Linked DNA regions of Callithrix jacchus. The main gene of each other region encodes a partner of the protein of the gene in region 2 in a complex. Links are inferred from orthologs where the notes say so. Each region holds a gene or a part of one and is shown on either strand. Other genes may lie near its edges.

Region 1 (10,832 bases), on a different chromosome or scaffold from region 2:
ACTCATCATTTCTGATTGCTGCATAATATTCCATGGTAACGACTATACATACCATGCAGCTTAGGGAGATACACAAAGAACTTATCAGTCAGCATCTTTTTCCTACTGAATTTACATGATTTGGTCACATTTTGCAGAAGATAGATTATAAGCTTTTAAGCACAACCAAACAATATCATGAATTATTTTAAAAATACATAAATGAACAAAGAAAAACATGAAAATTCAACATCCCACTGTCATGTTTCAGATATTTTTAATAAATAAAAACTTTAAAATTCAGCAGGAACCATCTTGAAGCCATTCCCGGTGTGAAAATTGATCATACAATCTGGATCATTTTTGTTACATCCAACTAAGTCAGAATTGAGGGACTAGGGGAAAAAGCAATCTGGGCATACACCTCAAAGATTAAGAATTAAGTTTTTTACAGCCCAGCTGCTAAAACAGCCTGCAGTACCTCTAAGACCAATTTTACCCAGTAGTTGCTAAAACAATCTGCTATGACTAAGATTGGTTTCACCTACCCCTATCACTCACCAATCAGTGCTTCCCAGCTTCCCAAAAGTTTACTGGCACCAATGAGCATTCTTTCAAAACAGTAGTAACATTTCTCTTTCTAATAAAACTTTTGATTTTCTCTTTGTTCTTCTGACATACCAAAGACCACCCAGTCTCTGAATATGTCCTGAATTGCAATTCTTGCTTCCCCAAAAAACCATTACATTTAGAAATTCATCTCTTTATATTTTATGTTTACTTTGACACGACATACAAATTCCTTGGCCTCCTTTGTTGGAGATGAGCATCACCCTGAAGTTGGGATGTATCCATCCCAACTATGTTCTCATTTTTACCACTTAAAAAAATAAATCCTGGCCGGGCACGGTGTCTCACACCTGTAATCCCAGCACTTTGGGAGGCCGAGGCGGGCGGATCACAAGGTCAAGAGATCGAGACCATCCTGGCCAACCTGGTGAAACCCCCGTCTCTACTAAAAATACAAAAATTAGCCGGGTATGGTGGGGCGTGTCTGTAATCCCAGCTACTCGGGAGGCTGAGGCAGGAGACTTGCTTGAACTGGGAGGTGGAGGTTGCAGTGAGCTGAGATTGCGCCACTGCACTTCAGCCGGGCGACATAGCAAGACTCCATCTTAAAAAAAAGAAAGAAAGAAAGAAAATATATTCATAAATAATATATAGGTATTCTGGTTTTTGTTATGTTTTGTCTTTTTGTGAGACAGAGTCTTGCTTTGTTGCTCAGGCTGGAGTGTAGTGGTGTAATCTCAGCTCACTGCAACCTCCACTTCCTGGGTTCAAGCGATTCGCCTCCCGAGTAGCTGGTACCTCAGGCTTGCGCGACCATTCCTGGCTAATATTTGTATTTTTTTGTTGTTATCTTTTTTGTTGTCAAGTTTCAACTTTTTGTTGACAACTTTGTGGTCAAGTTTCACTCTTGTTGCCCAGGTTGGAGTGCAATGGCACGATCTCAGCTCACCGTAACCTCCGCCTCTCGGGTTCAAGTGATTCTCCTGCCTCAGCCTCCTGTAGCTGGAATTACAGGCATGCGTCACACACCCAGCTAATTTTGTGTTTTTCGTAAAGACGAAGTTTCTCCATGTTGGTCAGTCTGGTCTCAAACTCCCGACCTCAGATGATCCACCCGCCTCGGTCTCCCAAAGTGCTGGGATTACAGGTGAGAGCCACAGCTCCCGCCTGTGTTGTAACACTTTCAGCCAGCGTTATCTAATGCAACAGGTACAATTTATTTTAATTTTTTTAACCCATTATATCCAAAATATTTAAACATATATAAAATTTTTAATGTGCAATTCAATATTCTTTTTGAAAATTTCTTGTACTAAGTCCAGAAAGAAAAATCCAGCTGATATATACTTACAGCACATCTCAATTCACATGCTAAAGTTAGAGTTCATAAAATTTAAGTTTGAAAAACAGATTCATATATCTTGTTGCAAACATACTTAAAAGTGTTCCAACAATTGAATGAGGCATCAGGGTTTTGTTTTGTTTTTAGTTTAATTCAAATTCAATTAATGATTCCATTTTTCCGTGTCAACCACATTTCAAGTCCTGAGTAGCCACATATGGCTAGAGAACAGCCTACTGGAAAGCGCAGCTTAAGGAGATACACAGAGTACTTATCAGTCAGCATCTTGTTCCTACTGAATTTATGTAGTATTTAAATTGTTTTTCTTTGCCATATCCTAGAACTCAAGTGCACAGACGCAATGGATACCTTTGAATTTCTGCGTCGATGGCATTTTGCGTTTAAAAGGATCGTCTGGGCAAGTTGGCGCACGCCTGTAATCCCAGCTACTCGGAAGGCTGAGGCAGGAGAATCTCTTGAACCCCAGACGGGGGAGGTTGTAGTGATCGGAGGTTGTAGAATTGCGCCACTGCACTGCACTCCATCCTGGGCGACAGGGCGAGACTGTCCCAAAATTAAAAAAAAATCATTTATCACTAAATGTATTCACTAAAAGAACTTGCAAAAAAAAAAAAAAAAAGCAACCTACTGCCTAAAAAAACATTTTTAAACGTATTTTTATTTAAGCAGAATATACTGATAAATAATGATGCGTGGTAACTAGTAAAGGTGCAGCTTTCATATTAGCTACGCCCATCCTTCTCCCCCATCCTCCACAAGCACGTCCCCGCCGGCCCTCTCGAAGAGACACACGTACGCACGCGCGCGCCCGAGAACACATACACACGCCTGCAGCACTCACAGGGCTGCGCGCGCCTGCCAGGACCCAGGAAATGCGCCTTCCACCCCCTGCGCCCGGTGGACCTCATGTAGGGAAGTTTCTGGGAACAGTCAAGCAGCCTTTGTATTGGTGGGGTTCCAGTCTCCTTTTAAATGATATGACTCCGCCCTTCCGCACAACCGTTTGGGAGAAGTGGAAAAGGTTGGCCGTGGAGGCGAAAAGGAGTCCTGTTGTCAGCTGGTCCGTACTCCACCTCAGGAAGCGGCCAACTCTGTGCGCCCAAGAATAAAATATGTCCCTTGCAGGAACTTGCAAGGATTTTGAAACGGTCCCCCACTGAGGCTTTGGAAGGAGGGCCTGTCACAGTTGAGAGGTCTGGATGGGTGTTTTCCTCCCAGTAGGTGCCCTATTAATTTGCTGCCTCAATAGTTGGTCTACCCGGGGTGTTAGCGGCGGGACCTCCAGGACCCGAAAAGCGCCGATTCTCCTGCGTACTCCTTGGTTTGGGTTTCCCACAAAAGCGCGGTCACACTAAAAACTGTCTCCACGAAAGCGAAACAGTCTCAAAACTTTTTTTCCCCACACGCTCACTTACTTCCCACACCACTCCCATCCTTTTATGCTTCGCCTCAGGAGTCGAGTGACTTCTCTGAATACCAATTCTACCAAATCTAAGGAGCTATACACACAGCCCGACTTCCCGAGAGAAACAGAGAGAAAACACTGCAAACCCCAATCAGACGCTCCTGTTTTCCCGGTACTAAGAAAAAAATAAAAAGTCGGTCCGTCGCCGCGCTATGCATGCTAGGATTAGTAGTTCCTCCATCCCGCAGGGCTCAGGGTCAGGGCGGAGCTCAGGTTGATTCCGTAGCACAGAACTACAATTCCCGTGGTGCCACGCAGCAGAAAGAAAGGGGCGGGACGTGAGGGGGCGCTTCGCGCCTGCGCAGGCCCCAGGGCCAGAGGGAGGCGGAGGCGAGGCGGTCCAACTGCTGAAGTCCCCATGTGACAGTGAACGGGGTCCCAGCTCCAGGAGACGCTCGAATCCGCGTCCCAGCCCTCAGCAGTGTCCACTGTTCCGGTGCCAGCGGAGACCAGCAGGCCCGGGACACTTGGTGCTTGGCAGTGCAGCTGTCTAACTTGGTGTGCAGAGTGAATTGTTGCTGCTGGAGCGGAGAGAGGCGGAGCGGCCAGGAGAGTGGGGATTTCTGTCAGCGTCGGCGCTCCAAGCTCGGAGACATGAACGGCTTCACGCCTGACGAGATGAGTCGCGGTGGGGATGCGGCCGCCGCAGTGGCCGCAGTGGTCGCTGCTGCGGCTGCCGCCGCCTCAGCGGGGAACGGGACCGGCGCTGGCGCCGGGGCCGAGGTGCCTGGCGCGGGGGCGGTGTCAGCGGCGGGGCCCCCGGGGGCGGCTGGGCCGGGCCCCGGGCAACTGTGCTGCCTGCGGGAGGATGGCGAGCGGTGCGGCCGGGCGGCGGGCAACGCCAGCTTCAGCAAGAGGATCCAGAAGAGCATCTCCCAGAAGAAGGTGAAGATCGAGCTGGATAAGAGCGTAAGTCACGGAGGGACCGCCCTGCCTCCCCCAGCCCCCGGGCGTCAGGAGCCCGGTAAAGGCTCGGGTTGTCGGCTGGGTCCCCCAGACCTGGCTGCAGTGCGGACTCGTGGAGTCTATGGTTGGAGGCAAACAACAAAGTCGCTGCAACTCCGACCGCCTCCCCCACAGGCACAACACACACGCGGCGTTCCCCTCTTTCCCAGCCTCCCGCTGCCTGTGTGTCTCCCGCGCGCTGTCTTCCCTCTTCCTCCTCCTCTGCGATCGGGACACGGAACAAAGGGGACCGCGGCACCGAGGGCCCAGAGTAGTTTTCTTGCAGCCCGGCAGCCTCTGGTGGAATGGAGGCGCCTTTGTTTTGCTGCCCGAGCTGGTGTTTGGCCCGAGGCAGCACTAACTCCCCTGGCCTAGGGCTAAGTGGAGGACCTTCGCGAGCAAGGAATATCTTGTTCTTTTCGGTGTTCGCCTCCTGATTCCGAGCGGAGTGAGAGGGAAGCAGAACTCACCCGCTGCCTGGCGGGGCGCCGGGCTCGTAAACGGCGTTTGCGCTGTCAGCTCCCAGGGCAGATCCTCCGATGGTGGGGAGCACGTAGCCTCTGCGGTTTTGCCATCCCCTTGGCAGCCATCAGGATTTCTTCTTTCCTCCTTTTGCACTTCCGTTCGTTTGACCATCTATGAGTTTTTTTTTTTTTTTAGAAACAACCGTTGCTACTCTGGGGAACTCTGCCTGTCGGTGAATGAATAACACGGTTTCAAGAACCTAGCACAAGTCCTGCATATTTTTATCTTGCGCTTAGCCCAGAAGTAAATTGAAAAGCCTGTTCGCTCAGTCCTTGTTTGTTTAAAATGTTAGTCTACAGCTGGTAGGAGTATATGTAATTAAAGTTTTTGAAAAGTTGATTTGTGACGCTTTTTGCCTGTTTAAACAGTTCTTCAGTGTTATCCAGGAGAAACTTTTCAGGTGAACTTGCATAATTTCACATTGCTTTGGAAAAATGTGTTACAGATAAATACATTGATTTAATATTCAGAAAAGTCTATAACTGAAATTTAAATATAGTTAAGATATGAAATCGATGGCTCATTTGTAAAAACGGATGGTTTTGTATCTGGAATATAATTTGGGTGTTAAGTTAGAAAGACTAGAAAGCATACATTATATTACTAAAATATGCTCTTCTTTAAGTAGAGAAAGTACTAGCAAGTAGCGAGAGTGTGGGCAACATCATCTTTCCCCTTACCAGTTAAAAATTCAACATGAACTAATTCAAGTCACCCTCACTGCAATTTATTTATTTAGAGACAAAGCCTCACTCTGTTATTTAGGCTCGAGTGCGGTGGCGCGATCTCGGCTCACTGCAATCTCCACCCACCAGGTTCCAGCGATTCTCCTGCCATAGTCTCCTGAGTAGCTGGGATTACAGGCTTGTGCCACCATACCCGGCTAATTTTTTGTATTTTTAGTAGAAACGGGATTTCACCATGTTGGCCTGGCTTGTGTAGAACTTCTGAGTTCAAGTGGGCCACCTGCCTCAGCTCTCCGAAAGTGCTGGGATTTCAGGGGTGAGCCACCGCGACTGGCCCCTCACTGCAATTTGATGACAAAACCCAGAGGGTTGGGATTTCTCATTCTCCCCTCCCTCCCTCCCTTCTCCAAATGGCACCGACCCCTCCTTCCCCATTTGCCTTCCTTTTAACAGTATTCCAGACATCTTATGTTTTAACAGGGCATAGGATTTAAAAGTAGAAATATTCCATAGTCTTAACAATGACCCATCTTGACTGTCTTTATTTTTAATAACTCTCTGTGGTATATGTGTTTTATTAATACATAGACATATTTTACTGTAATCATAAGCAGTGTGTGAAACTTTTCTGTTTCAGGCAAGGCATCTTTATATATGTGATTATCATAAAAACTTAATTCAGAGTGTTCGAAACAGAAGAAAGAGAAAAGGGAGTGATGATGATGGAGGTGATTCACCTGTTCAAGATATTGATACCCCAGAGGTAGATGGAAGTTTTTTATGCTTAATATAAATCCTAAGTAGTGCATTCTGAAACCTTTACAAAAAGATATGAACAGTCTTTTAAGTGTTTAGAACATTTGAGAAATCTGAAAATAAAAGCAAAATTAAATGTAGCCAGTTGACATGCATTTGCACAGTTGGAATTGTTTTAAATTGACAATTTTTACAGCTCTGCTGTCATGGAACTTTTTTTTTTGACCTGTTTATATTTATCCCCAAAAGATTAAAGTGTTTAATAATTTATAGGTTTGATTATGTAAAAGGATTTTTTGGTAATGGAATTAAATTTTTATTGTGCTGAAGTTAAAATGTTTGTTATACATATCAATGATAAATTTTCAACAAATTGTATGAACTAATTTATGCATGTTAATTTTTTTCTAGGTTGATTTATACCAATTACAAGTGAATACACTTAGGAGATACAAAAGACACTTCAAGCTACCAACCAGACCAGGACTTAATAAAGCACAACTTGTCGAGGTATATATGAGTTTCAAACTGTTTAAACTATCTGCTCAACCAAGAGGTTATTAAATGCTAATGAAAGTATTAACGTAGTATATGTAATGGTACATTTTAGGTAGAAAGAACAAAGTTAAAAAATCTATTGTGGAAGAATCTAGTTGTCTAGAAATGTTTGTCTGCCACTTGGGAAATTCCTTTTTTAATGACTGCTCAGTAGATTGTGTACAACACCTTTTGATACCGGCTTTGAAAATGTGTTGTTTGTTTGTTTTTTGAGAACAGAGTCTTGCTCTGTCTCCCAGGCTAGAGTGCAGTAGCATGATCTTGGCTCACTACAACCTCTGCCTGCTAGGTTCAAACAGTTCTCCTGCCTCAGCCTCCCAACTAGCTGGGACTTCAGGTGTACACCACCACACCAGGCTAATTTTTGTATAATATTTTTAGTAGAGATGGGGTTTCACCCTGTTGGCCTGACTTGTCTCAAACTCCTGACTTCAAGTAATCTGCCCACCTCAGCCTACAAAAGTGCTGGGATTATAGGTGTGAGCCACCATTCCTGGCCCTCAAAATGTTGAATGAAAGTTTTTTAAATCCTCACTTTAGAAATCTATTAGTTTAAAATTCCATTTAACCAGTAAACCATTTAAGCACCTAATTGAGGCATAATAAAATTTAATTAACAAGCATAAATGTCCTTATTAGAATTTATTTTTTAAAGTGGTGGAATATGTCTACAAATCAGCCCCTAAACAGTATTTTTATAATTCGCTGACTTACGTATTTCAAAATTTGTCCTGTTGATGTTAGTTTTATTAGAGACATCCATGTTTTCTTCACATCTAGAAGAGGCAAAAGCTTTTCTTTTACCCAAGCTTTTACTTGTAGTTTGCTTTGATAGAGGACTTCTGGTCAGTCAATGAATTGTGAAAAGTTAATGGAGTGTGTATATGTTCTCAGGATACAGTAGAACCAAGAAATCTATGAATCTTATTAAGATATTTATAGATTTATACTTTAACCATATATAAAATAAAAATTTTTACTTGCAGCTACTTAGGAGGATTGATTGAGCCTAGGAGTTTGAGTCACCATGGGCAACATAGTAACACTCTCTTAAAAAAAAATTTTAGCCTTCTAGACAAAATAAAAGTGTAGATCTATCAATCAGTTTTCTCATGTTCTTTGCATGGATTTAGTAGTTACCCAACATTTTCTAAAATGTGCATATTGAATAAAATGAAATATGAATAGAAAATATGTTTATTTGGGAGAATGTTTTTTAACATTGTTAAAATCCAACATATTAACTATTTAGCTAAAATTTCTTCTGTATTTCTTTATTAGGCAACACAGATCTAATTTTTCTTTACTTTTGATTTGAAAGATTAAGATCTTTTCGGGTTGTATAATACATTAATGTAACATAAATGTAGGTATTGCCCACCATGATAAAATATTTCAAAAGCTACTAATGGAGTGAAGGCACCTCTGTTTTGAGACAATGAAGAACCAAAGAACTGATTATTCTAAATGTTATATTTAAGTATAAATTAAACCTGAAATTTTTGATAAAGTAACCTTATAAGAACAGTTGTATTATTTCTAGAGCTATTTTTTTAAATAATTAAGAGATAGCCATGAGTGTTATATTTTATTTAATCAGAAATGCAGATATTGACAGGTTAAGGACTGTGCAGATGTAGCACATGTATTTTAAGACAGGGGTCCCCACCCCCAGGGCCATGGACTGGTACTGGGCTGTGGCCTGTTAGCAAAGGGTGGGTAGAGTGGGAGGTGAACACTGGCTAGCAAGCATTACTGACCGAGCTCCACCTCCTGTCAGATCAGCCACAGCGTTAGATTCTCCTGGGGGACCAAAGCCTCTTGTGAAGTGCACATGAGAGAGAACTAGGTTGTATGCTTGTTATAAGAATCTAATGCCTGATGATCTGAGGTGGAACAATTTCATACCAAAACCAACCCCTCTACCCCGAATCTACAAAAATTGCCTTCCATGAAATCGATCTCTGGTGCCAAAAATGTTGGGAACCCCTGTTTTAAGGGATTCCAGGGTTGTATGACTAAGTCTTAAGTGTCTTAATTATCATGTGGATAAACTTTTTTCTTAAGAAATTTTATTTTCTGGAATCTAAATATGCATGTCAGCCCCCCAGGTGAGTCTATTATTCTTCTATTAGTAATTGCAGTATGTGTGTTATGTTAGCACAATGAAAAGGCAAGGAAGAGGTAAACATCCTTCCTTCCCTTATGTTATATATGTTATGTTAACACATAAATTGTTTGCTGCAAATTATATTCATTTATATGTTATTTAGCTCTTTCTCATTTTCCATTCCTAATTTTTATTCAGAAAAATTTTCAAGGAACCTTAACCAAAGAAGGTTGCCAATGTATGAATGAATGAATATAATTTGCAGCAAACAATTTATATGTTATTGTTTGTTTCTTTACTACTGAAAGTTTTCAGCTTCATACTTCTTTTTCTATCAGTAGGTTCGAAACCATTGCAGGTTTAATGATGCATGTGGTCTCTTACTTCTATTTTACTCATTTAAAGTTTAAAAGTAAAAATATTTATTCCCTACTCTAGATTCCAACTGTAAAATTTATGATTTTTATTTTATTTATGTATTTATTTTTGAGACAGAATCTTGCTCTGTCACCCAGGCTGGAGTTCAGTGGTATGATCTTGACTCACTGCAACCTCCACCGTCTGACTTCAAGCAATCCTCCTGCCCACAGCCTTCCAAATAGCTGGGATTACAGGTCTACACTACCATGCCTAGCTAATTTTTTTTTTTTTTTTTTTTTTTTTTTGGTAGAGATGGGGTTTCGTCATGTTGCTCAGGCTGGTCTTGAACTCCTGGGCTCAAGTGATCCACACACCTCAGCCTCCCAAAGTGCTGGGTTTATAGGCATAAGCCACCATACCCAGCCCAATTATAAAATTTAAAATAAATAAAAAGGAAAATATATTTTCTAATCAATGTATATATTGAGTAGGCCAAAGGATCCTTTGAAATCATACTATCTCTTGTTCATAACATTTTATTCTTAAATGCTTTTTGTCCTGTTGGTATGTTGCTAAATATAATTTTTAAAGGAAATAGCCCTTATCACATAGCACTTTTTCTTTTGATGAAACAATATTTTTTACCTAGTTTATGAAACCTGTTATCTCTAAAATTTAATTTCCTTAATTTTTTTTTTTCTCTATAGATAGTTGGTTGCCACTTTAGGTCTATTCCAGTGAATGAAAAAGACACCTTAACATATTTCATCTACTCAGTGAAGAATGACAAGAACAAATCAGATCTCAAGGTTGATAGTGGTGTTCACTAGGAGACGTGGAATTGAGACTAATAACTTGGATGTTAGCACTGTTTACTGTTTTTTCACATGTAGAAATGTTCCTTGTGTATTTTTTCTACAGGGGATTTTCTCTGATTTTATTTTCTTTGTTTCTGACTCTAATAATTAGTTGGAAACTCATCTAAAATGAGCTTTCCTAAATTAAAAACTATTTTAAATAAAGGTTATTACTATTATAGTTTCTCCAGTGTATTTATTTTGTGAAACGTGATTTTTCTTTTAAACTGATTGAGGGATCAGTATTCAGATTTTAATGTAAAGTCCTTCTTTTTGTAGGCCCCCCTTTTTTTTAAACTTCCGAAAAATTAACAGGTTAAGGAGAAGTAATAAATATAGCAAATTTGCATTCTCTGGGACAGTCTGACTTGGAATTGAAAGTATTCTAAATAACATTATTTTTAAAGTGCTTCATAATGCTAGCAAATTTGAAAAATAAACTACTGGAATGCAGCTTTTTTTGTTGTTGTTGTTATTATTACTTGATGGAGTACTAGGAAGAACAAATAGTTTATATACTCACCTACTTCCAGAGAAGACTTCATTGCCAGTAAAGATAAACATAATGCTGAAAGTTGAAACAAGAACATAAAATTAAATTGTTGTTTTTTTAAAATTTTGTCTTCGAGAAAAGATATTTACTTGACATGAATCTAGA
Region 2 (10,106 bases):
TTAATGAATTAAATTTGCTGCTGTGCATTGTGAACTTCCAAGCAGTGAATGGTGTTTTTCAAAACTTATTATTCAGCTGTGCCCAGAGGCCCTGAGGAGCAACTCTGGAGCTTTGTGTCTTCCGGGAACCCACTCTGGCAAAGTCTAATCTGGCCTCAGTGGATTTTTAAATCATTCTTTAAATTTTTATTTATTTGTTTGTTTTTATTGAGATAGAGTCTTGCTCTGTTGCCCAGGCTGGAGTGCAGTGGCATGATCTTGGCTCACTGCAACTTTCACCTTCTGGGTTCAAGTGATTCTCCTGCCTCAGCCTCCCCAGTAGCTGGGATTACAGGCATGTGCTACCACACCCAGCTAATTTTTTGTATTTTTGGTGGACAGGTTTTATCATGTTGGTCAAGCTGGTCTCAAACTCCTGATCTCAGGTGATCCACCCACCTCAGCCTCCCAAAGTGCTGGGGTTACAGGCATGAGCCACTGAGCCCCGCTGGATTTTTTTTTTACTTTTCTGTAAGGGCTTTGCTTAAAGGTGAGGGAGAGGAGCTCTCCTGCCAGGTGGCTTTGACAGAAGCAGGGTTTGCCAGGTGGTCTTTCCTCTTGGGGGCTGAGTACAATTTCTGCATTGTGGTGCAAAAGCACCACAGACTATCGGGGCCACCGGGGTCCTACGGGAGAAAGCGCAGTCCCAGGCAACCCGCTGACGCCCCTACTTGTGTCTGGCTCCAGGACCGGGCACATGCTCACCCACCAGAAGACGAAGCCCTTCGTGTGCATCGAGCAGGGCTGCAGCAAGAGCTACTGCGACTACCGCTCTCTGCGCCGGCACTACGAGGTTCAGCACGGCCTGTGCATCTTGAAGGAAGCCCCCCCGGAGGAGGAGGCCTGCGGGGACTACTCCCACACCCACGAGTCTGCTGTCCAGCCGCCCCCCAGCAGTCTGCGGTCCGTGGTGCCCCCGGAGGCCAGGTCCCCCGGCTCCCTCCTGCCCCACCGGGACCTCCTGCGCCGCATCGTGAGCAGCATCGTCCACCAGAAGACCCCTTCTCCTGGCCCGGCCCCGGCGGGGGCTTCAGACAGCGAAGGGAAGAACACGGCCTGTCCCTGCCCCGCCTCATCAGGGTCTTCCTCCTGCACCTCAGCCGACCCCACCGAGGCCCCTGCAGAGCTGGACACCAAGCTTCCGGAGGAGCCTTGCCTACCGCAGAAGGAGCCGGCCGCTGACGTGTTCACCGCCCCTAATTCCAGGGCAGCTGAGAACTGCGCCCCCGACCCGCCGGAGCCAGATCCCGCGCTGCTCCAGGCCCTGTACTCCGCGGAGGGCTGGCCGGAGGGCGGTTCCATGCCTGCCAGCCTGCCTCTCTTCCGAGGCCAGACGGTCCCTGCCAGTTCCCAGTCGTCGAGCCACGGCTTCCAGTGGCTCCGGAACCTGCCGGGCTGCCCCAAAAGCAAAGGCAACAATGTGTTTGTTGTCCACAAGCCCCCCGCCATGCTGTCACAGGAAGGCTCCGAGTCTGGCCCAGGGCCCAGCAGCGCCGCCCCGTCGGAAGAGCCCCCGCCTGGCCCCAGTGGCTGCCTGGAGGATGCGCTGCCCTTTCTTCCCGCGATCCTGAAGGCCTCCGGGGAGGCCCCGAGCGACCCCAGGCCTGCCAGCGGGGAAGAGGACCCCTGGGCCCCCAAGAAGAGCAAGTTCGACTGCGACTCCTTCCTGTGCCAGAACCCCGGGGAGTCCGGTCCCCTGGAGGCCCAGACGCCAGGGGGGCTCCCCGCGGATGCCACGCCGTTCTTCCGCCAGCTCTTCCTCAAGTCGCCGGAGCCTCTGGTGAGCCACGAGCAGATGCAGGTGTTCCAGATGATTACCAAGTCCCAGCGGATCTTCTCCCACGCCCAGGTGGCAGCAGCCTCCTCCCAGCTCCCCGCGCCCGAGGGCAAGCCGGCCGCTCTGAAGCCGCTGCAGGGGCCATGGCCGCATCAGCCCCCTCCGCTGACTCCTGCTGTGGACTCTGTCCACACCGGCCCTGAAAACCCGGAGGCAGAGGGCTCCCCAGCCCGCAGGAGGAAAACCACGCCCGGAGTTCCCAGAGAGGCCTCCCCCGGCAGCACGAGACGAGACGCAAAGGGGGGACTGAAAGTGGCCCCGGTTCCAACGTCCTTTGCAGTGGCGTCTCTGGACCCTTCCAGGAATCCGGAAATCTCTTCTCTGGCCAAGCACTTGCGATCCTCGAAAAGGACCTTGGACCTGGAGGACATCTTCTCCTCCACAGGCCAACGGCAGACCCAGTTAGGTGGGGAGGAGCCACCGGGAGCCCCGATGCACGGGAAGCAGGCCCCTGCCGAGAATGGCACAGCGTCAGGGACCACGAAAGGTGAGAAGGGCCCAGCCGGCTCCCGGGGCGGAAGCTACAGGCTGCTGGGCAACCCCAGAGCCCAGCGATTCTCCGGGTTCCGGAAGGAGAAGGTGAAGATGGATATGTGCTCTGCGGCTTCTCCGAGCCAGGTAGCCATGGCCTCCTTCTCGTCGGCCGGGCCTCCGGCAGATGCCTCCCGAGACTCCACGTCCAAGCTGACAATATTCAGCAGAATCCAGGTACCCGCTCTCTCTCTCACGTGGCCTAAGCAGAGTGGTGTGAGTTTTCTCTGCATTTGTTAGTTGTCCACGCATTTTATTTCATCGAAGTGAATCCCTAGATGCAATTTTATGGAGGAAGAAATTCGAGAAATTGTGGTTTCCCCCACTAAAAAAAAAAACCAAAAAACAAAAAAACAGACCAGAATGAGGCCAGGTGAGGTGGCTTACACCTGTAATCCCAGCCCTTTGGGAGGCTCAACTGGGAAGACATCTTGAGCTCAGGTGTTTGAGACCAGCCTGGGCAACATGGCAAAACCCCATCTCTACCAAAATTTTTAAAAATTAGCTGGGCGGTGGTGCATACCTGTGGTTCCAGCTACTAGGGAGGCTGAGGTGGGAGAATCGCTTGAACCTGGGAGGTGGAGGTTTCACTGAGCTGAGATCTCGCCAGTGCACTCCAGCCTGAGCGAAAGAGTGAGACCCTGTCTCAAAAATAATAATAATAATAAATGAGGATATTCCAGAGTTGTTGGAAACACTATCTCGCTAAGCCTTTTTTGCTTGTTTTTTTTTTTTTCTCTCGTTTCCCTTGCCTTGGATTTGCCTTTTTAGACACTTCAGAGGATATGAAGGTAGATGCCCTCCTTCCTTTAAATATCCCTGCTTGAAATGGCCATATGTTTTCTGATTGTGTGTCATGGTTTCCACGAGCACAAGTGGGTGCCTGCTGCATACCCCGCACTTCAGCACATTGATAATCATGCACAGCTTCCTCCAGACACTATGCTTGGAAGGCCTGGTCTGAAGAGCTCGGTCAGGACTCCAGACTCCAGGTTTCGCCTGGGCAACATGGCAAAACACCGTCTCTACCAAAAATTTAAACAATCAGCTGGGCATGGTGGCACTCCCCTGTGGCCCCAGGTACTTGGGAGGCTGAGTGGCTTCCCATCACACCAGAGCTGCCTTATTTTCCTTTTATTAGCAGCTTTATTATTCAGGTGCCATAAAATGCACCATTTAATTTTTTTAGAGATGGGGAGTCTCGCTATGTTTCCCAGCCTGGTCTTGAACCCTTCGGCTCAAGCAATCCTCTCATCTTGGCCTTCTAAATTGTTGGGATTACAGGCATGAGCCACCGTACCCGGCCAAATACAACATTTTATTGTATTTTTTAAAATTATTTATTTATTTGAGATGGAGTCTTACTCTGTCACCCAGGCTGGAGTGCAGTGGCGCAATCTCAGCTCACTGCGACCTCTGCCTCCTGGGTTCAAGCGATTCTTCACCTCAGCCTCCTGAGTAGCTGGGATTACAGGTGCCCACCACCAAGCCTGGCTAATTTTTTTTTTTTTTTTTTTTTGAGTCGGAGTTTCGCTCTTGTTACCCAGGCTGGAGTGCAGTGGTGCGATCTCGGCTCACCGCAACCTCCACCTCCTGGGTTCAAGCAATTCTCCTGCCTCAGCCTCCTGAGTAGCTGGGACTACAGGCACGCACCACCATGCCCAGCTAATTTTTTGTATTTTTAGTAGAGATGGGGTTTCACCATGTTGACCAGGATGGTCTCGATCTCTTGACCTCGTGATCCACCCGCCTCGGCCTCCCAAAGTGCTGGGATTATAGGCGTGAGCCACCGCGCCCGGCCCTAATTTTTGTATTTTTAAGAGATATGGGGTTTCACCATCTTGGCCAGGCTGGTCTTGAACTCTTGACCTTGTGATCCACCTGCCTTGGCCTCCCAAAGTGCTGGGATTACAGGCGTGAGCCACCTCACCCAACGTGAATACACCATTTTAAAGCATAGCATTGAGTAATTTGTAGTATATTCACAAGATTGTGCGGCCCTCACCACTCTTTCCAGGACAGTTTCATCTCCCCAACAGGAACCCCACATTTCTTAGTTGTCACCCATAATCTCACCCTCCACCCAGCCCCTGGCAGCCATGAGTCCCCTTTCTGTGTCTGTGGGTGTGACTGTTCTGGATGTTGCATGTGAGTGGAATCATGCACTCTATGGCTTTTGCGTCTGGCTTCCTTCACTCGGTCTGACATTTTCCAGGCTCATCCGAGGGGTGGCAAGCGGCAGAGCTGCGTTCCTTTCCATGGCTGAGTGATGCTGCTGGATGGATAAGCCCACATTGGATTTGTCTGTTCATCAGTGGGTGGACGTTTGGGTTGTTTCCACTTTTTGGCTATTTTGAATATAGTGCTGCTGTGATGTTCACTCGTGTACACATTTGGGTGGGGATTTGTGCTCTAGGAGTAGAATCGCCAGGTCTTACAGCAGCTCTGTCTTAGGTCTGAGGAACCACTAGGCTGTTTTGCTGAGCAGCTGCACCATTTCAGCTTCCCACCCCCAGAGTGTGAGGGCTCCACATTCTCCACGTCCTCACCAACACTTGTTATTGTCTGTGGTTTTTTTTTTTTTTTTCTGAGACAGAATCTCACTCTGTCACCAGGTTGGAGTGCAGCGGTGCAATCTCAGCTCACTGCAACCTCTGCCTCCCGGGTTCAAGCGATTCTCCTGCCTCGGCCTCCTGTTTTTGTTTTTTTTTTTAATTATAACTATCCTGATGGGTGTGAAGTGGTGTCTTGTTGTGGTTTGGGTTTGTATTTGCCCGAGGCTGATGATGTCGAACACCTTTCTGGGTGCTTATTAGCCATCTGTGTATCTTCCTAAAAGAAATGTCTCTTCATGGGCCAGACACGGTGGCTCATGCCTGTAATCCCAGCACTTTAGGAGGCCAAGGCGGGTGGATCACGAGGTCAAGAGATCGAGACCATCCTGGTCAACATGGTGAAACCCCGTCTCTACTAAAAATACAAAAAAAATTAGCTGGGCATGGTGGCACGTGCCTGTAATCCCAGCTACTCAGCAGGCTGAGGCGGGAGAATTGCCTGAACCCAGGAGGCGGAGGTTGCAGTGTGCCGAGATCGTGCCATTGCACTCTAGTCTGGGCAACAAAGCGAAACTCCATCTCAAAAAAAAAAAAGAAATGTCTCTTCAGATCCTTGGCTTATTTTTTTAAAATCAAGTTACTATTTTTTGAGTTCGTATATTCTGGATACAAGCCCCTTATCTGACACATGACTTGCAAATATTCTCTCATTTTGTGGGCTGTCTTTTCATTTTATTTATGGTACCATTTGCAGGACGAAAGTGGTTTGGTTTTGTTTTTTTTTTTGAGACAGGGTCTCACTCTGTCACTCAGGCTGGAATGAAGTTGTGTGATCATGGCTCACTGCAACCTTGAACTCCTGGGCTCAAGTGATTCTCCTACCTCAGCCTTCTGCGTCACTGGGATCACAGGCCCAGGCCACTATGCCCAGCTAATTTTTGTATTTTTTGTAGAGATGGGGTTTGGTTTCACCATATTGCCCAGGATGGTCTCAAACTCCTGGACTGAAGCGATCCTCCCACTTCGGCTTCCCAAAGTCCTGGAATCACAGGCATGAGCCACGATGCCTGGCTAAGAGAGTTAAAGTCTGATGAAGTCGAATTTGTCTGTTCTGCTTTCATGTCTTATCTAAGAAACCACTGTCTACTCCAAGGTCATTAAAGATTTACTCCGATGTTTTCTTCTAAGAGTCTGTAATTTGAGCTCTCCTTGCCTCTTCATTTCTGATGTGTTGCTTCAGATGCATTTTTATCTTCAGGGTGGAAACATCTACAGGCTTCCCCATCCAGTGAAGGAAGAGAACGTGGTAGGTGGAGGGTAAGTTAAGAAGCCCCCCACCTCCTGCATGTGCTCTGACAAGAGTCCTCTGGCTTTCCTGTGCTGGCCAGGATAAGTGAGTGGGGAGGATGCTTTCAGTCTTAATGGGATTAGGGTACAGCCTCCATTTTTTAGGGTTTTTCAAGAGTAGTCAGGCTGGATGCAATGGCTCATGTCTGTAATCCCAGCACTTTGGGAGGCCGAGGCGGGCAGATCACTTGAGGTCGGGGTTCAAGACCAGCATGGCCAACATGGTGAAACTCTGTCTCTACTAAAAATACAAAAATTAGCCAGGCGTGTTGGCACAAACCCGTAATCTTAGCTACTTGGGAGGCTGAGGCATGAAAATCACTTGAACCCAGGAGGCAGAGGTCACAGTGAGCTGAGATCATGCCACTACGTTCCAGCCTGGGCAATAGAGCAAGACTACCTCTCCAAAAAAAAAAAAAAGGAGTAGTCAGTGGATTGGAGTTATAGACAAAAAAGAAAGAAAACAAAAACTCAGTGATCAACGGCAGAGTCCCAATCTCCCACTCTTTTCTCCTGCCGTGTCTGCCCACATTAGCCAGCACAACGGTGGTCCCATGGACTGCACGGAGCCGAGCAGCACTTACGTCTGCAAGAACTGCAGCCAGATGTTTTATACGGAGAAAGGGCTGAGCAGCCACATGTGTTTCCACAGCGACCAGTGGCCATCACCTCGAGGGAAGCAGGAACCGCAGGTGAAGGGGCATGACCAGTGGCTTTGTGATTACTGGGTTTCTGGCAGGCCTGTGGGGCGTCAACGAGACTGGTGTCACACATCTCAGGATGGGGCCGTCGCGCTGGGTGGAGGGCTGGAGTCAGGCTGTGTGGCTCTCCAGGGGCAGGCCATTGCCGTGGGCTGCAACAGCTCTGCAGCTCAGGCCATGCCCCAGACTCACTGCTGTTTTCTATGGCAGCTTTTTCTGAAGCAGCTCTTCCTTTCCCCACCTACCTGTCTCTTAAAGAGCCATCTTTTCTCTCTGTATTTAGGTGTTTGGCACAGAGTTTTGCAATCCCCTAAGACAGGTGCTGAGGCCAGAAGGGGACGGGCACAGTCCCTCAGAACCCAAGAAGCCCTTGGACCCCATGGCTGCAGCCCCTTTGGTGGTCCCCCTATCAGTCCCTGAGGTTCCAGTGACCCGACACATAGGGAGCATGGCCATGGTGGGCGCTTGTCGGTCTGCCTTCTTCCTGCCACTGCCCCCTCTGCTGGGGGAAGCTGTAGGAAAAGCCTAAACCAGACACCACAGAAAATCTTGACTCCAAGACAGGCGTGGTGGCTCACACCTGTAATCCCAGCACTTTGGGAGGTTGAGGTGGGCAGATCGCCTGAGCTCAGGAGTTCAAAACCAGCCTGGGCAACATGATGAAACCCCGTCTCTACTAAAAATACAAAAAAATTAGCCAGGCGTGGTGGTGGGCACCTGTAAACTCAGCTACTCAAGAGGCTGAGGCCCGAGAATCACTTGAACCCAAGAAGCCTCTGCAGTGAGCCGAGATCGCATCACTGCACTGCAGCCTGGGCAACAGTGAGACTCTGTCTCAAAAAAAAGAGGAAAATCTTGATCCAGAAGAAGCTGGTTTGCACGTTAATTCAGTCATTCAGCATTCACTGAGCCCCTCTGTGCCAGGCCCTGTGCTGGGTGGTACTGGGGACACAGAGGTGACCACAATAGCCTGGGCCCTGCCTCCCAGGGCTCCCAGTCCAGTGGAGGAGACAGGCCTGTACCCAGACCGTGATAACCCAGAGTAGGCAGGGCTGGGAGTAGAGGGAGCCCAGAGAGTTCCAGGGGGCTCCTGAACCAGCCTGAGGAGGTAAGGGGGGGGCTTCCTGGAGGAGGCAGTATGGGAGCTGAGACCTGAAGGAGGAGGAGGAGTAGGGCTGGCAGAGCAGAGGGATTCTGTGGAGGTGAGAGAAAGCGTGGTGAGTTATAAGTGATTGGTCTCAAAGGGCTTGTCTCTGCAGCCTGTACTGAAGGACCCCACCTGGAGAAGCTCCTGCTCAACTTGGGAACAGAGTCCATGGACCTGAAGGTCCCCTGAGTCAGTGGCTGGGTCATTTGGGTGCTTGTCATTTGGGTGGAGCAGCATTTCTTTCTTGCCAGCATCACACTGTATCTTTAGGGATATCTCCCTGTTTAAGGGCCAGTCATCTTAACGGTTGAGGCCGTCCTCACACACAGTCAGAGGCTCTCCTGGGGCATCCAGATCATGGCCAGACTCAGTGCCTCAGGTCTGGCCCAGGTGTGGCTGGCCTCCTTTGCGGAGGGCTCGGTGGGGGTGTGGCCACGCCGGGCACGTGTGTCCTAGTTTCCTCTCTCCAGCCAGTCTCCTGTTCCCACTTTCATCCCATCCTGGAGATAGAGTGGTGCAGTAGGTGGCTTCAGGTGGCCACCTGTGGTTCTATACTCTCTCCTTCTTCTTCAGGGACAAGAGAAAGACGGGGAGGAGCAAGACAGCAAGGAGAGCAGCCAGCAGAGGAAGCGGAAAAAGCGGCCCCCACCCAAGTCACTGTTCATCCCTGCTCTGCCCTCCACGGCTGGGGAACCCGGCCCTGCAGGATGCCACCAGAGCCGCCTGCAGTCACCCGTGTTCCTGGTGGACCACCTCCTGAAGGGCTTATTTCAGTGCTCCCCCTACACACCACCCCCAATGCTCAGCCCCATCCGGGGGGGCTCTGGGCTATACTTCAACACCCTCTGTTCCACGTCCACTCAGGCCAGCCCTGACCAGCTTCTCAGCTCCATGCTCGGTGAGTGAGGCTGGGCACTCTGTGATCCCGGGGTGAATTGCCTGTGGACCATGCCCACTCTCCGTTGTAGCATGTGGTTCAGGGATTGTCGCCCACCCGGGTGTACCTAGTCTGAGGGACCCTTTGCTATTCAGACATGCCCCAGACTGATCTAAGTGCCTTCTAGTGCTTAGAATTTTATGGCCAGAAAAAAATGTAGAGGCCATTTAGCCTGACCATGCTTCTGCCTGCCCTTCTGTGTCATTTTCTTTTTCTTTTCTTTTCTTTGAGACAGAGTCTTGCTCTGTCACCAGGCTGGAGTGCAGTGGCATGATCTCAGCTCACTTGCAACCTCTGCCTCCTGGGTTCAAGCAATTCTCCTGCCTCAGCCCCCCGAGTAGCTGGGACTACAGGTGTCTGCCAACACACCCAGCTAATTTTTATATTTTTAGTAGAGATGGGGTTTCACTGTGTTGGCCAGGATGGTCTTGAGCTCTTGACCTCAGGATCTGCCTGCCTCGGACTCCCAAAGTGCTGGGATTACAGGCATGAACCTCCTCACCCAGCCTTCTTTTTCTTTTTTGAGGCAAGGTCTCACTCTGTCACCCAGGCTGGAGTGCACTGATGCGATCACAGCTCACTGCAGCCTCAGTCTCCTGATCTCAAGCGATCCTCCAGCCTCAGACTCCCAGTACCTGTGATTACAGGTATGCATCACCACAACTGGCTAATTACTCTAGGCTGGTCTCAAGCTCCTGGACTCATGCGATTTTGCATCCTTGGTCTCCGAAAATACTGGCAGTAAATGTGTGAGCCACTGTGTCCAGCCTGTGTCATTTTTTTTTTTTTAAATGGAGTCTCACTCTGTCACCCAGGCTGGAGTGGAGTGGCATGATCTCGGCTCACTGCAGCCTCCACCTCCCGGGTTCAAGCAATTCTTCTGCTTCAGCCACCCAAGTAGCTGGGACTAGAGGCGTCCATCACCACGCCTGACTAATTTTTATATTTTTAGTAGAGATGGGGTTTCACCGTGCTGGCCAGGCTGGTCTCCAGCTCCTGGCCTTCAGTGATC
Region 3 (10,106 bases), on a different chromosome or scaffold from region 2:
TTTAGTAGAGACGGGATTTTGCAATGTTGGCCAGGCTGGTCTCAAACTCCTGACCTAAAGTGATCCGCCCACCTTGGCCTCCCAAAGTGTTGGGATGACAGGCTTGAGCCACCACACCTGGTCTCCCCTTAATCTCATCACACTCTTATTCAAAGTAAAGCTACCACATTCACAGGCTAGAAATACCAAGAAGGGTGGGAAGTTGGGTGTGGGTAAACTTGGTTGGGGCCGGGAAGTAGGCACGCACTCGACAGGCAGGGTCTTGAATGACTTCAGGCAAGTGCTTTAGAGATAACTTCATGTAGGGGGATGGAATTGGGAGGAAGAAACGGTGCAGGTGGGGTGTATGAACTTCTTCCCAGAAGGGAGCAAATTACATTCGTCTTTTTATTCCTATGTCTAGCAAAATAGCTGATGTAGGAAAGGAGGCTACTGATAATTGGGTGGAAGGGTGGATCAGTCGGCTGGGGTTCCGGGCACTTAGTCACTCACCATTAGGGTCATCAGCTCCTGCTGTAGCCTGCAAAAAGAGCATTGCGGGTTACCTGGGAGTCTGGTTGGGCCAGGGCTCTAGATGGTGCATCTCCCCCCACCTGAATCTCTCAGGGGGAGCAGTCAACTTCTCCCTTACCCTGTCCCCGCCAAGTCACGAGCGTGTTTGCGCTGCCTTAATTTAGGCCCACTCAGGGAAGGAATCAGGCAGCGCTCCTACCTTTCCATCCTCCTTAGGGAGAACCTCAAAGAGCGATCTGAGCTCCTGTCGTGTCCCCCATCTCCCAAACTCACCCGCGCAAGGAGGTGGGAGTCCTGGAAGTCTCCGCCCTCGGCACCCATGCCCAGGGGAATGCCAGGCCCCGAGTTCCTGGCGTGTTCTGCACCCGCCTATCTCTTGCTCCAGAAGGAGGCTGGGGGTCCTAGAAATCTTTGCTCTGGGTCCCAATGCCTAGGGATGGCAGGCCCGACGAGTGGTACTCCGCACCACTCACCTTTTGCCCACGGGGCCCCGGGCGGCGCCCCCGCTCGGCTCGGCTCCTTTACGGGCGGCAGCGACGCTAGTGGCTGCTGGGTCGCGGTTTTGGGAGGCCATCCGGGCGGCGCTGGCAGAGAGACAGGGACTCGGAGAACACGACGGCAACTGCAGGGCTGCGGGCCCGCCCGCCTGCGTTTGAATTGTAACCCTCTGTGGGCATCGGCCAATCAGTGGCTCGCTTGGGTTTGATCCAGCCAATGGGACGCGCCGGAGCGCTCTGTCGCTGCGTCACTACTAGACCTACCCACCGGCGCACCAGTATTGGGCGGCAGGATCCCGCTTCTGACAGTCGATTGGTAGACGAGGCTGCCATTAACTAACGAATCCGTAGCACATTGGAAACGCTTTGGAAAACGCTGACCATTAAAGGGCCAAGAAAACGTCCACGTGGGATGAACTCTCCTTAAGGCTACAAGCCTTACTCCGCCTGGGAACATCCAGCACGCCCAGCCTTGATCCCATCTACCTCGGGAAAGGAGTGCCTCCAATCTTGCCACACTGGTACCCTTCCCCCAAACTGGAAACCTCTGCTCCTCCCCACTGTATAATCGCCTGTTTACCTTTGCTGGGTCCTGAGTATCTGAAAATCCCAGCGAGGGGAAAATCTAGAGGCTGATGGCCAGAGCAGCAGGCTCCCTATTAGAAAACGGAGGTTCATACATCTCTGCATTTGACAGAAAAAGAAAAGACAACACTGATTCAGGCTGGGCGCAGTGGCTCATGCCTGTAATCCCAACACTTTGGAAGGCCCAGGAAGGAGGATCGCTTGAACCCAGGAGTTCAAGACGAGCCTGGGCAACATAAAAAAAGAATAGGCTGGTGAGGTGGCACAAGCCTCTAGTCCTAGCTACTGGCAAGGCTGAGGCGGGAGAATCACTTGAGGCAGAGGCTTCACTCTAGCCTGGGCGACAGAGCAAGACTCTTGTCTCCAAACAAACAAAAACCTCAGTAACACAGGTTCATATCCTGTATGTCCTACCTCTCCAACGGGTATTGTGTGACCTTGGGGCAGATTCCTTAGTATCTTAACCCGTAAAATGGGAGCAATAAAACCCAGCTCTATTTTTCATATGGTCTGTCATCAAACCCCACAGGATTAGCCATCACATTCTGCCATGTCCTTACATTAGCTGGGTAAAGAAACTACAAACCGGGACAGGAAAGAGGTGCAAGATACATGGTACTCCCTGCTTGGTTTCATCAAGCCTGGGTCTATACTGTTATGGGTGAGGTTATCTTATCCTTTTTTCCTACACCCACTTCTAGAGCCCTTGATGTTCTGTCAGTTTCCGCAAGACAGAGGGAACAGCAGGTTCACCATCTGTGTTTATTACAAACTGTTTAATTGCTCCTTATCCCAATAACTTTACAAAGAAAGAACCACATGCCAGTCTGGGGGTGCTGTGCAGTGAGTCACTACAAACTTGCTCAGGCACAGCTTAATGCCACTGAGATCCATCTAGGAGCAGTCCCAGTGGTGGCCTCAGCCGTGTGAGGAAAGAGGGCTTTGAAGGAGGGTTGCCAAGTGTATGTGGCCTGGGGCCCTGGCCTCAGGTCTGTGGTGGTGCTTCAACAGCACGATGCTCATTCTCTGTCCGTAGTGTCTCCATATATTTTCTCATCTTCTCCACCATCCAGGAGGGTAGGACAAAGGATTTCAATTCTTCTAGCTTCAGGTCCAGGCATCCTCTGGAACAGACAATGAAGAAGGAAGTTGGGGGAAGTGAGGATGTAGGTCCTGCCTCATCCTAGGGGATACTTTGAGGCAGGGGGAGAAGGGGCAAGAGGCCCACTGGTTTTACCTGTAGTCATCACTGGCAGCAAGGTCCCGGATGTCCTCCTCAATGAGGAGGTAGGCCTGGGGCAGAAGCAAGGGAGAGTGGTCACTGCCTGACTAATTTCATTCCAACTCAGTAACACTTCATTACACATCTGCTTAATGTAAGGCCTGCTACTTACTAGGTGGAAGAGGGGGATGTGGTTTGCAATTTAGTAAGGAAGAGTAAGTGGGGATAGATGGGAATGGCTCCTTGAGACAATCTTTTACTAAAGTAGATGCTTTATGGGTGGGAGAATAGGGAATAGTGACTTATTTATAGCCTCCTCTTTTAGAAAAGGACCCATTTCTCTCTTGAATGGTGTGGTGAAAAAATTAAAAAAATAAAAATAAAGAAAAAAAAGGGACCCACCATTGCTCCTCCACCTTTTGGTTATGATCAAATGTATAAAAGGACCCAAGGTTGGTGATGACAAAACGGCAAAGAATGTCAGCAAAATATACATGGAAACAGGAAATCAGGAAGAGGAAACCATATGTTCCCTCTGAGGACAAAGATAACTTGGTTTAGAACTTTGTAGCAAAATGGAAAACATGATAACTGCCCTGCTGTCTAGTAATTGGCCTGTATTGTACTGAGGCCTATAGAAATGCTTTGTCACAATGCCTCGATCTACAGTGGGTGAGGGCCCTTTTGTGAACATTAACATATAAGAAGAGATGTTTGTCACATTAGAAAGCCTTCTGTGGGGCTGGGTGTGGTGGCTCATGCCTGCAATCCCAGCACTTTGGGAGGCTACGGTGGGAGGATCACCTGAAGTTGGGAGTTCAAGACCAGCGTGACCAACATGGAGAACAAGGTGAAAGGGTGAAGGGGCAAAGGGAGACCCAGGAACAGGGAAGGGAACCTGAGGATTACAATGTGCTCTTCAGCATGAAGAAATGGGCCTTAAAAGTCTCTCTTCTCACATTGGTCAGGCTTTGGGAGTCAGATTTGGAGGTAAGCTGTCACCCACATCCAGAATCCTGGTTCCCAGGTGGGGTGGGTCCCTGGCAATGGCACATGTGAATAATGCTTACCATCTTGCCCCCTGTTGCCCGCATGTGATGCTGCTCAGCCAGCCAGTGCTTGTCCTGGGGGTCAGCTGCATACTGTAAGGGATGAAGTTGTAGAAGTATTAGCCTCAGGTAAGGGGTTCTTCTCATTTGGTCCTAGAGCATACTCTTGCCCTTTGAGCAGTCCTTACCAAAAGTCCTTGTCTCCTAGCATGGTGGCTGTAGAGGGTTCATTAATATCTTCAGAGCAAGCCGAGCCAAGCCCAGAGGGCAGATCATGGACCCAATTCCCAGAGACTTAGTATACTCCCAGTCCCCAGTCCCTCTGTCAAAACAAAGCACCCTAGCAACTGGTGGGACTGATAACTATTATTTGATAGTTTCCTCTTTTAAAAAGTTATCTGAGGTGCCTTATAATGTCTGTGATTATTATGGTGACAATAATAAAACAAGAATTAGGACACCTCAGGTACTGTCAGATGCAGAATAGCATCATGGTTAAGAACCCAGTTTTGGAGTTACAAATAAGGTTTGTTTGTTTATTTATTAAAACACAGTCTCACTCTGTTGTCCAGGCTGGAGTGCAGTGGCACTATCGCAGCTCACTGCAATCTCCACTTCCTGGGTTCAAGCTATTCTTCTGCCTTAGCCTCCTGAGCGGCTGGGATTACAGGCATGTGCTACCACACCTGGCTGATTTTTGTATTTTTAGTAGAGATGGGGTTTCGCCATGTTGGCCAGGCTGGTTTGGAACTCCTGGCCTCAAGTGATCCACCCGCCTCAGCCTCCCAAAGTGTTGGGATTACAGGCACGAGCCAACATGTTCGGCCCAAATAAGCCTGAAATTCTGGCTTCTAGGCTGGGTTTCTTTGCACCTGGCTGAGAAACTGGGTATTGGTCTCTATTACCTCCTGTGTATTGTCTGAATCTTTTTACAACAGAAATGGGTTTATATATTATTTCTATAATCAAAAAGTTTAAAAATGAAAAATATTTGAATAATGTCTTCTGAAGGACAGAAAAATGGGCCAAAGATATAACAGGCAGCTTACAGAAGAAATACACATAGATTCTAAATGACTGAAAAGATACTTATAATCACTAGTAGAGAATTATAAAGTTGGGCCAGGAGCAGTGGCTCATGTCTGTAATCCCAGCACTTTGGGAGGCCAAGGATGTTGATCATTTGAAGTTGGAAGTTCGAGATCAGCCTGGCCAATATGGTGAAAACCCGTCTCTACTAAAAATATAAAAATTAGGTGGGCGTGGTGGCACATCCCTGTAATCCCAGCTACTTGGGAGGCTGAGGCAGAAGAACTGCTTGAACCTGGGAGACGGGAGGTTGCAATCAGCTGACATCACATCACAGCACTCCAGCCTGGGCAACAGAGGGAGACTCTGTCCCATTAAAAAAAAAAAAAACAGAGAGAATTGTAAAGTGAAACAAAAAAAACCATTTTCTTTCCAGTTATTGGACTGGAAAGATTAAAATGAGAGGTAATAACCACTGGTAATGAGAGTATGAGTTGGGAGTTTATTACAAATGGTGGATTTCAGAGTTGGGAAATTATGCTAATAATAATCAACATTTATTGAGCCCTTGCTATGTGCCAGGCATAATGCTAAGTGCTTTACTACACTCTGTTAGTTAACCTTGGTCTATCACTGTTCCCATCTTATAAAGAACAAAAACAGACTCAGAAATGTGGATCAATTCCCAGACTTGAGCTAGTTAAAAAAAGGAAAAAGAAATGTGAAGCCATTTGTTCAAGTTCATGCAGCCAGTAATGGAATGAAGCCTGAAGCCATATTTTTAAGCATGCTGAAATGGGAATTCAAAGTAGGTCCAAGAGCATATTGATTTTGGGGATGATACAAAGAAAGCTCTTGGAGGAGGTAGATCTTAAAGAATAGTCAGCCAGATAAGGGTGGGAGAGGATGCCACCCAGGTAAAGGGAATAGCAAGAATGACGACATCAAGAGAGGGAAACAAAGAAGGAGCCACTGGGCAAACTTTAAGTGTTGAGATGCAAGGATCTCAGACTGGAGAAGACTGAACAGGTAAGCCTTTCAAAGAACTTGAAAACTTGCAGAGAATGTGGTAGAGAAAGCCGTGGTTCTGGGATCCCACAGGGGCTGTGGAGTTCTGGCAAGGGGTGCCAAGCTTTATGTAGAGGTGCAAAAACCATGTGTGGAACACACATGTACCACGATTTTCCTAATCTATTTTGATGCTGTTGTGAACCAATAAAATATAAAATCATCTAAGAGGGCAAGTGAGTTTATGATTTCCTTTATTATTCCCTCAAACAGTGTGGATCAAAACATAGCTGCTCTCAGGAGTCCCCTCTTTGAAAAGGCACAGGACCCTGCCTTGCTCCAAACTCTGTTTTACAGACAGCCAAATATAGTAGTGGTTAAGAGCTCAGGCTTTGGTGAAGACAGACCTGAGTTTGAATCCTGACTCACCACTTCTAGCTGAATAACTGTGGGCAAGTCACTCAGCCTTTCTCAACCTCTGATTGTTTTGAATTGGTGAAATAAGGATGGCAGTACTTATTTTTTAAGATAATGTAAGTGTGGTATTTAAAACTGTGTTTGGCGTACAATAAACATGCAGGGAAAGGAGCTGTTATTACTGAGGCACAGAGGTGCTGAGTAAATCATGAAAGGTAAGTGAATGGCAGAGGTGCAGCTAGAACCCGGATGTCATGACTCCCAGATCAGTGTTTGTTCTAAGCTTCTCTGTACCGTGTGGAGTTCCCAAACTACTCCCAATCCATGGCCTGCTTTCCCCCCAGCCCTCACCTACCTTAAAGAGGTGTGGGTGCTTGATGTAGATTCTCCCTCTGGTGCCCCCCATCCCCAGGGCCCTGAAAAGTAAAAGCCAAGTGGTAAAGATTCTAGAAAGTGCAGTTCCTACTAGTGAACTCCAGAGCTGTTTCCTTTACCAGTGCCAAAGCTCTTAAACTTACTTGTTGGCTCGAGATCCCAATACAAAGGTGGTAGATTCATTCAGGCGAGCTGGGTCCCACTATGGAAAAAACAGAGAAGCTGGTGAGGGTGAAGTTTAAACTAGTGGGCAGGACAGAAACACTCCTCCCCCTGCCCTTTTCTCATGCTTACCCTTATCTATTATTCAATCAACAGTGTACTCCAAACACTGAGTACTCACAATATGCTAGGCCCTGTCTGTGCTAGATACTGGGAATAAAGAGATGAATAAGATACAGTCTCCATTTTCTAGGGCGCCACAGACATATGTACAGATAATTATACCATGATGCGATGAGGCAATGACACAGGTGAGTGGAGAGTCTGAGGGCTGCCAAGGGGAGGGTGCAGCCAGGAAGGCTTCCTTAGAGAGGTATTTCCCAAGTTAATTCTGAAAGGGTGAGCACAAGTTGGGGTAAAGGGGGTGAGGAACAAGGCAATTCCAGACAGGGGGCAGCATGTGCAAGGACAGGTGAGAGTCGGCTTGGCATGCTGGAGAAACTACTAGTAACTCTCTGTTGCTAACAGTACAAATTAGGGAGTGGCAATTGATGGGGCTGGAGAGGAAAACCCAGAGGAGCTGGAGGTCCTATGAGATTATGTTCAGGGGACTGCATTTTATTTCTTCTGTAGGCATTGGGGAATTACTGAAGGCCTCTAAATAGGGAGTGAGAGTCAGATTTACTTTAAAGATAGCTTAGTTGCTGGCCAGGCGCGGTGGCTCAAGCCTGTAATCCCAGCACTTTGGGAGGCCGAGGTGGGTGGATCACGAGGTCAAGAGATTGAGACCATCCTGGTCAACATGGTGAAACCATGTCTCTACTAAAAATACAAAAAATTAGCTGGGCATGGTGGTGCGTGCCTATAATCCCAGCTACTCAGGAGGCTGAGGCAGGAGAATTGCCTGAACCCAGGAGGCGGAGGTTGCGGTCAGCTGAGATCGTGCCATTGCACTCCAGCCTGGGTAACAAGAGCAAAACTCCGTCTCAAAAAAAAAAAAAAAAGAGATAGTTTAGTCTTCTAGCAATGTAGATAATGGATTTGAAGGGGCAAGATGACAGGCAGGGAGAACAGTTGAGAGGCCGCAGTGGTAAAGCAGTTGGAAAGCTGCTAATGCCTGAGCTAGGGCAGAAGTAAGGATGAAGAGAAGGAAATAGGAACTGCAGTATGTTTAAGAGGAAGAATTGTCCAGGACTTGAGTGGATGTTGGGAGGTGAGAAAAAGGAGGAGGCAAAGACGATTAAAATAAGTAACATAAAGAAGGGCTGTCAGGAAAGATTCTGATTTCATGTTTGGATACGCTGAGTCTGAAATGCCTATGGAGCCTCCAGCAGAGTGGTCAAGTACATAGTAGGATATACAAGTTTTAAAGCAGAAAGAGAGGCATGGGATGGACAAAGAGGTATGGGAGTTTTAGAACATGGTGGTCCCTGAAACCATAAGAGTACATGATTTAGATCATCCAGAGAGTTACTTTAGATGGAGCAGTGGGCCAAGGAGAGAAGTCTGGGGAGCATCCATTTATGTAAACCACTGCTGAGGAAGAACTCATGAGAAAGAAGGGATGTTTAGAGACGAACAGAAAGATTCAGGGGAATGCAGGATCATTATTCTAAGCGAATAGGGTTTTAGAGGAAAGGCATGATTACCAGTGTGAAAGCAGAGAGGGCCAGAAGACAAGAGGTGGACAGCAGCTACTGGACACAGCCTCAACGAGGACAGGGATGCTGTATCAACATTACTGGAGTTCCATTGATGATTTTATTTAAGAAAGGATCTCACTGCTACAACAGTTTGCAAACAACTGCTCTGGAGGCAACAGAGGCTAATGGTTAGAAGCACAGAATCTGGTGTCAGTGGGTCTTGGGTTTGAGACTTGGCTCAGTCACCTACAAGTTATGTGACTCTGGGCAAGTCTCAAGTACAGTAAGTGTATAAGACAACTGAATAAAATAATTTTTGACCACGGGGAAGTTGGCAGAAAAGGAAACTCCTCATTTATAGAATGGTTCACAGAATTGATCTCCTAAGTTTTTTACAAAGATTAAATGAGAGAGTCTACACAAAAGATTTAGGACACTGGCTGATACATACTAAGTACTGAGTAAGTGTTAGTGACCACTAGCTCTTACAAGGAGCAGGCTTCAGCAAAGATTCAAGGCCTCTCTTTGTTTTGGCTCTAACACCAGTTCCTACATAGGATCCTCTCTGAGTCAGTGTGGCTGGAGGTGGAGAGGGGAAGATGGCTCTGGAATGGTGTGCATGCATCCTTTGCCCTCTGCCCCTTTCCGTCGTGGTGGGTCCCAGAGATAGTGGGACTATTTCCTGGGATAGTGGTCACCGCCATGCTCACATAATCATACCTTAGGACCTTCCCGGCGAATTGGTTCACAGGATTTTGGTTTCCATCTGCTTGGAAGGAAAGAATAAAGGTGAATTCTCCAAGGTGAGACCTAGGACTGAATTCAGGCTTGCTGGTGATGGTAGGAGTTCCTCACATACTCTCACTTTAGCCCTGGGCATCCTCCTTCGTGGTGACACGTTAGAGGAGGAGCAAAGGGAAAAAAGCACTGGACTGGAAGCTATTCTAGCACTAGCTCTGCTCTTACACAGTTGCATGAGCAACTCTAAGAACCTATGAGTGGCAGTTTTCTCATCTGTCAAAAGAGACAAGAGCAGTAACTGCCCTACCTATCTTGTATTTGTGAGAAATAAAACTGCTTCATGTAGGAGACACGTCTAAGGTATGACAGTGAATACTATCCCATCTACTAAGCCAGTGGTTTCAAAAGAACCCCAAGCCCCTGAACCAGACCAGTGTGGCTTGATTTGATTTATATATTGGGCTTCCATGAAAAGTTCTGTTTGAAAAAGATTCTGCTGCTTCAAAATTTTTTTAGAAAGTGGGGCTGAAGGGTGGGTTGAGGGGGAAGGAGGGATGAACAGGTAGAGCATGGAGGATTTTCAGGGCCCTGAAAGTGCTCTGTGTGATATCAGAATGGTGGACGCACATCACTATGCATTTGTCTACGTTCATGTGTAACACGAAGAGTGAGCCCTCATGGAAACTGTGCACCCTGAGGATCAAGATGAGTCAAAGCAGCTTCATCAAATGTACCACTCAGGTGCCTGGTGTTGATAATGGGGGAGGCTGTGCATGTGTAGGGGCAGGGAGTATATGGGATATGTCTGTATCTTCCTTTCAATTTTGCTGTGAACCTAAAACTGTTCTAAAAAAATGTATACATA

Evidence for each region.
Region 1: ZNF541 (region 2) and SAP30 share a complex: the UniProt entries of both Homo sapiens proteins name them as parts of the histone deacetylase complex. The link is inferred for Callithrix jacchus from reciprocal best matches to the Homo sapiens genes ZNF541 and SAP30.
Region 3: ZNF541 (region 2) and DNTTIP1 share a complex: the UniProt entries of both Homo sapiens proteins name them as parts of the histone deacetylase complex. The link is inferred for Callithrix jacchus from reciprocal best matches to the Homo sapiens genes ZNF541 and DNTTIP1.

What each region holds. Positions count from the first base shown.
Region 1 is NC_133504.1:17,825,478-17,836,309, reverse strand, and holds SAP30 (histone deacetylase complex subunit SAP30), read left to right. Parts: upstream 1-3,693; 5' UTR 3,694-3,971; coding exon 3,972-4,286; intron 4,287-6,170; coding exon 6,171-6,296; intron 6,297-6,700; coding exon 6,701-6,799; intron 6,800-10,024; coding exon 10,025-10,147; 3' UTR 10,148-10,353; downstream 10,354-10,832. UniProt on the Homo sapiens protein: Involved in the functional recruitment of the Sin3-histone deacetylase complex (HDAC) to a specific subset of N-CoR corepressor complexes. Capable of transcription repression by N-CoR.
Region 2 is NC_133523.1:41,476,437-41,486,542, reverse strand, and holds part of ZNF541 (zinc finger protein 541), read left to right. Parts: intron 1-726; coding exon 727-2,584; intron 2,585-6,220; coding exon 6,221-6,279; intron 6,280-6,844; coding exon 6,845-7,001; intron 7,002-7,293; coding exon 7,294-7,467; intron 7,468-8,730; coding exon 8,731-9,055; intron 9,056-10,106. UniProt on the Homo sapiens protein: Transcription regulator which is essential for male fertility and for the completion of meiotic prophase in spermatocytes.
Region 3 is NC_133506.1:41,043,897-41,054,002, reverse strand, and holds the end of DNTTIP1 (deoxynucleotidyltransferase terminal-interacting protein 1), read right to left. Parts: intron 9,267-10,106; coding exon 9,221-9,266; intron 6,898-9,220; coding exon 6,839-6,897; intron 6,737-6,838; coding exon 6,676-6,736; intron 3,960-6,675; coding exon 3,888-3,959; intron 2,889-3,887; coding exon 2,833-2,888; intron 2,720-2,832; coding exon 2,581-2,719; 3' UTR 2,344-2,580; downstream 1-2,343. UniProt on the Homo sapiens protein: Increases DNTT terminal deoxynucleotidyltransferase activity (in vitro). Also acts as a transcriptional regulator, binding to the consensus sequence 5'-GNTGCATG-3' following an AT-tract.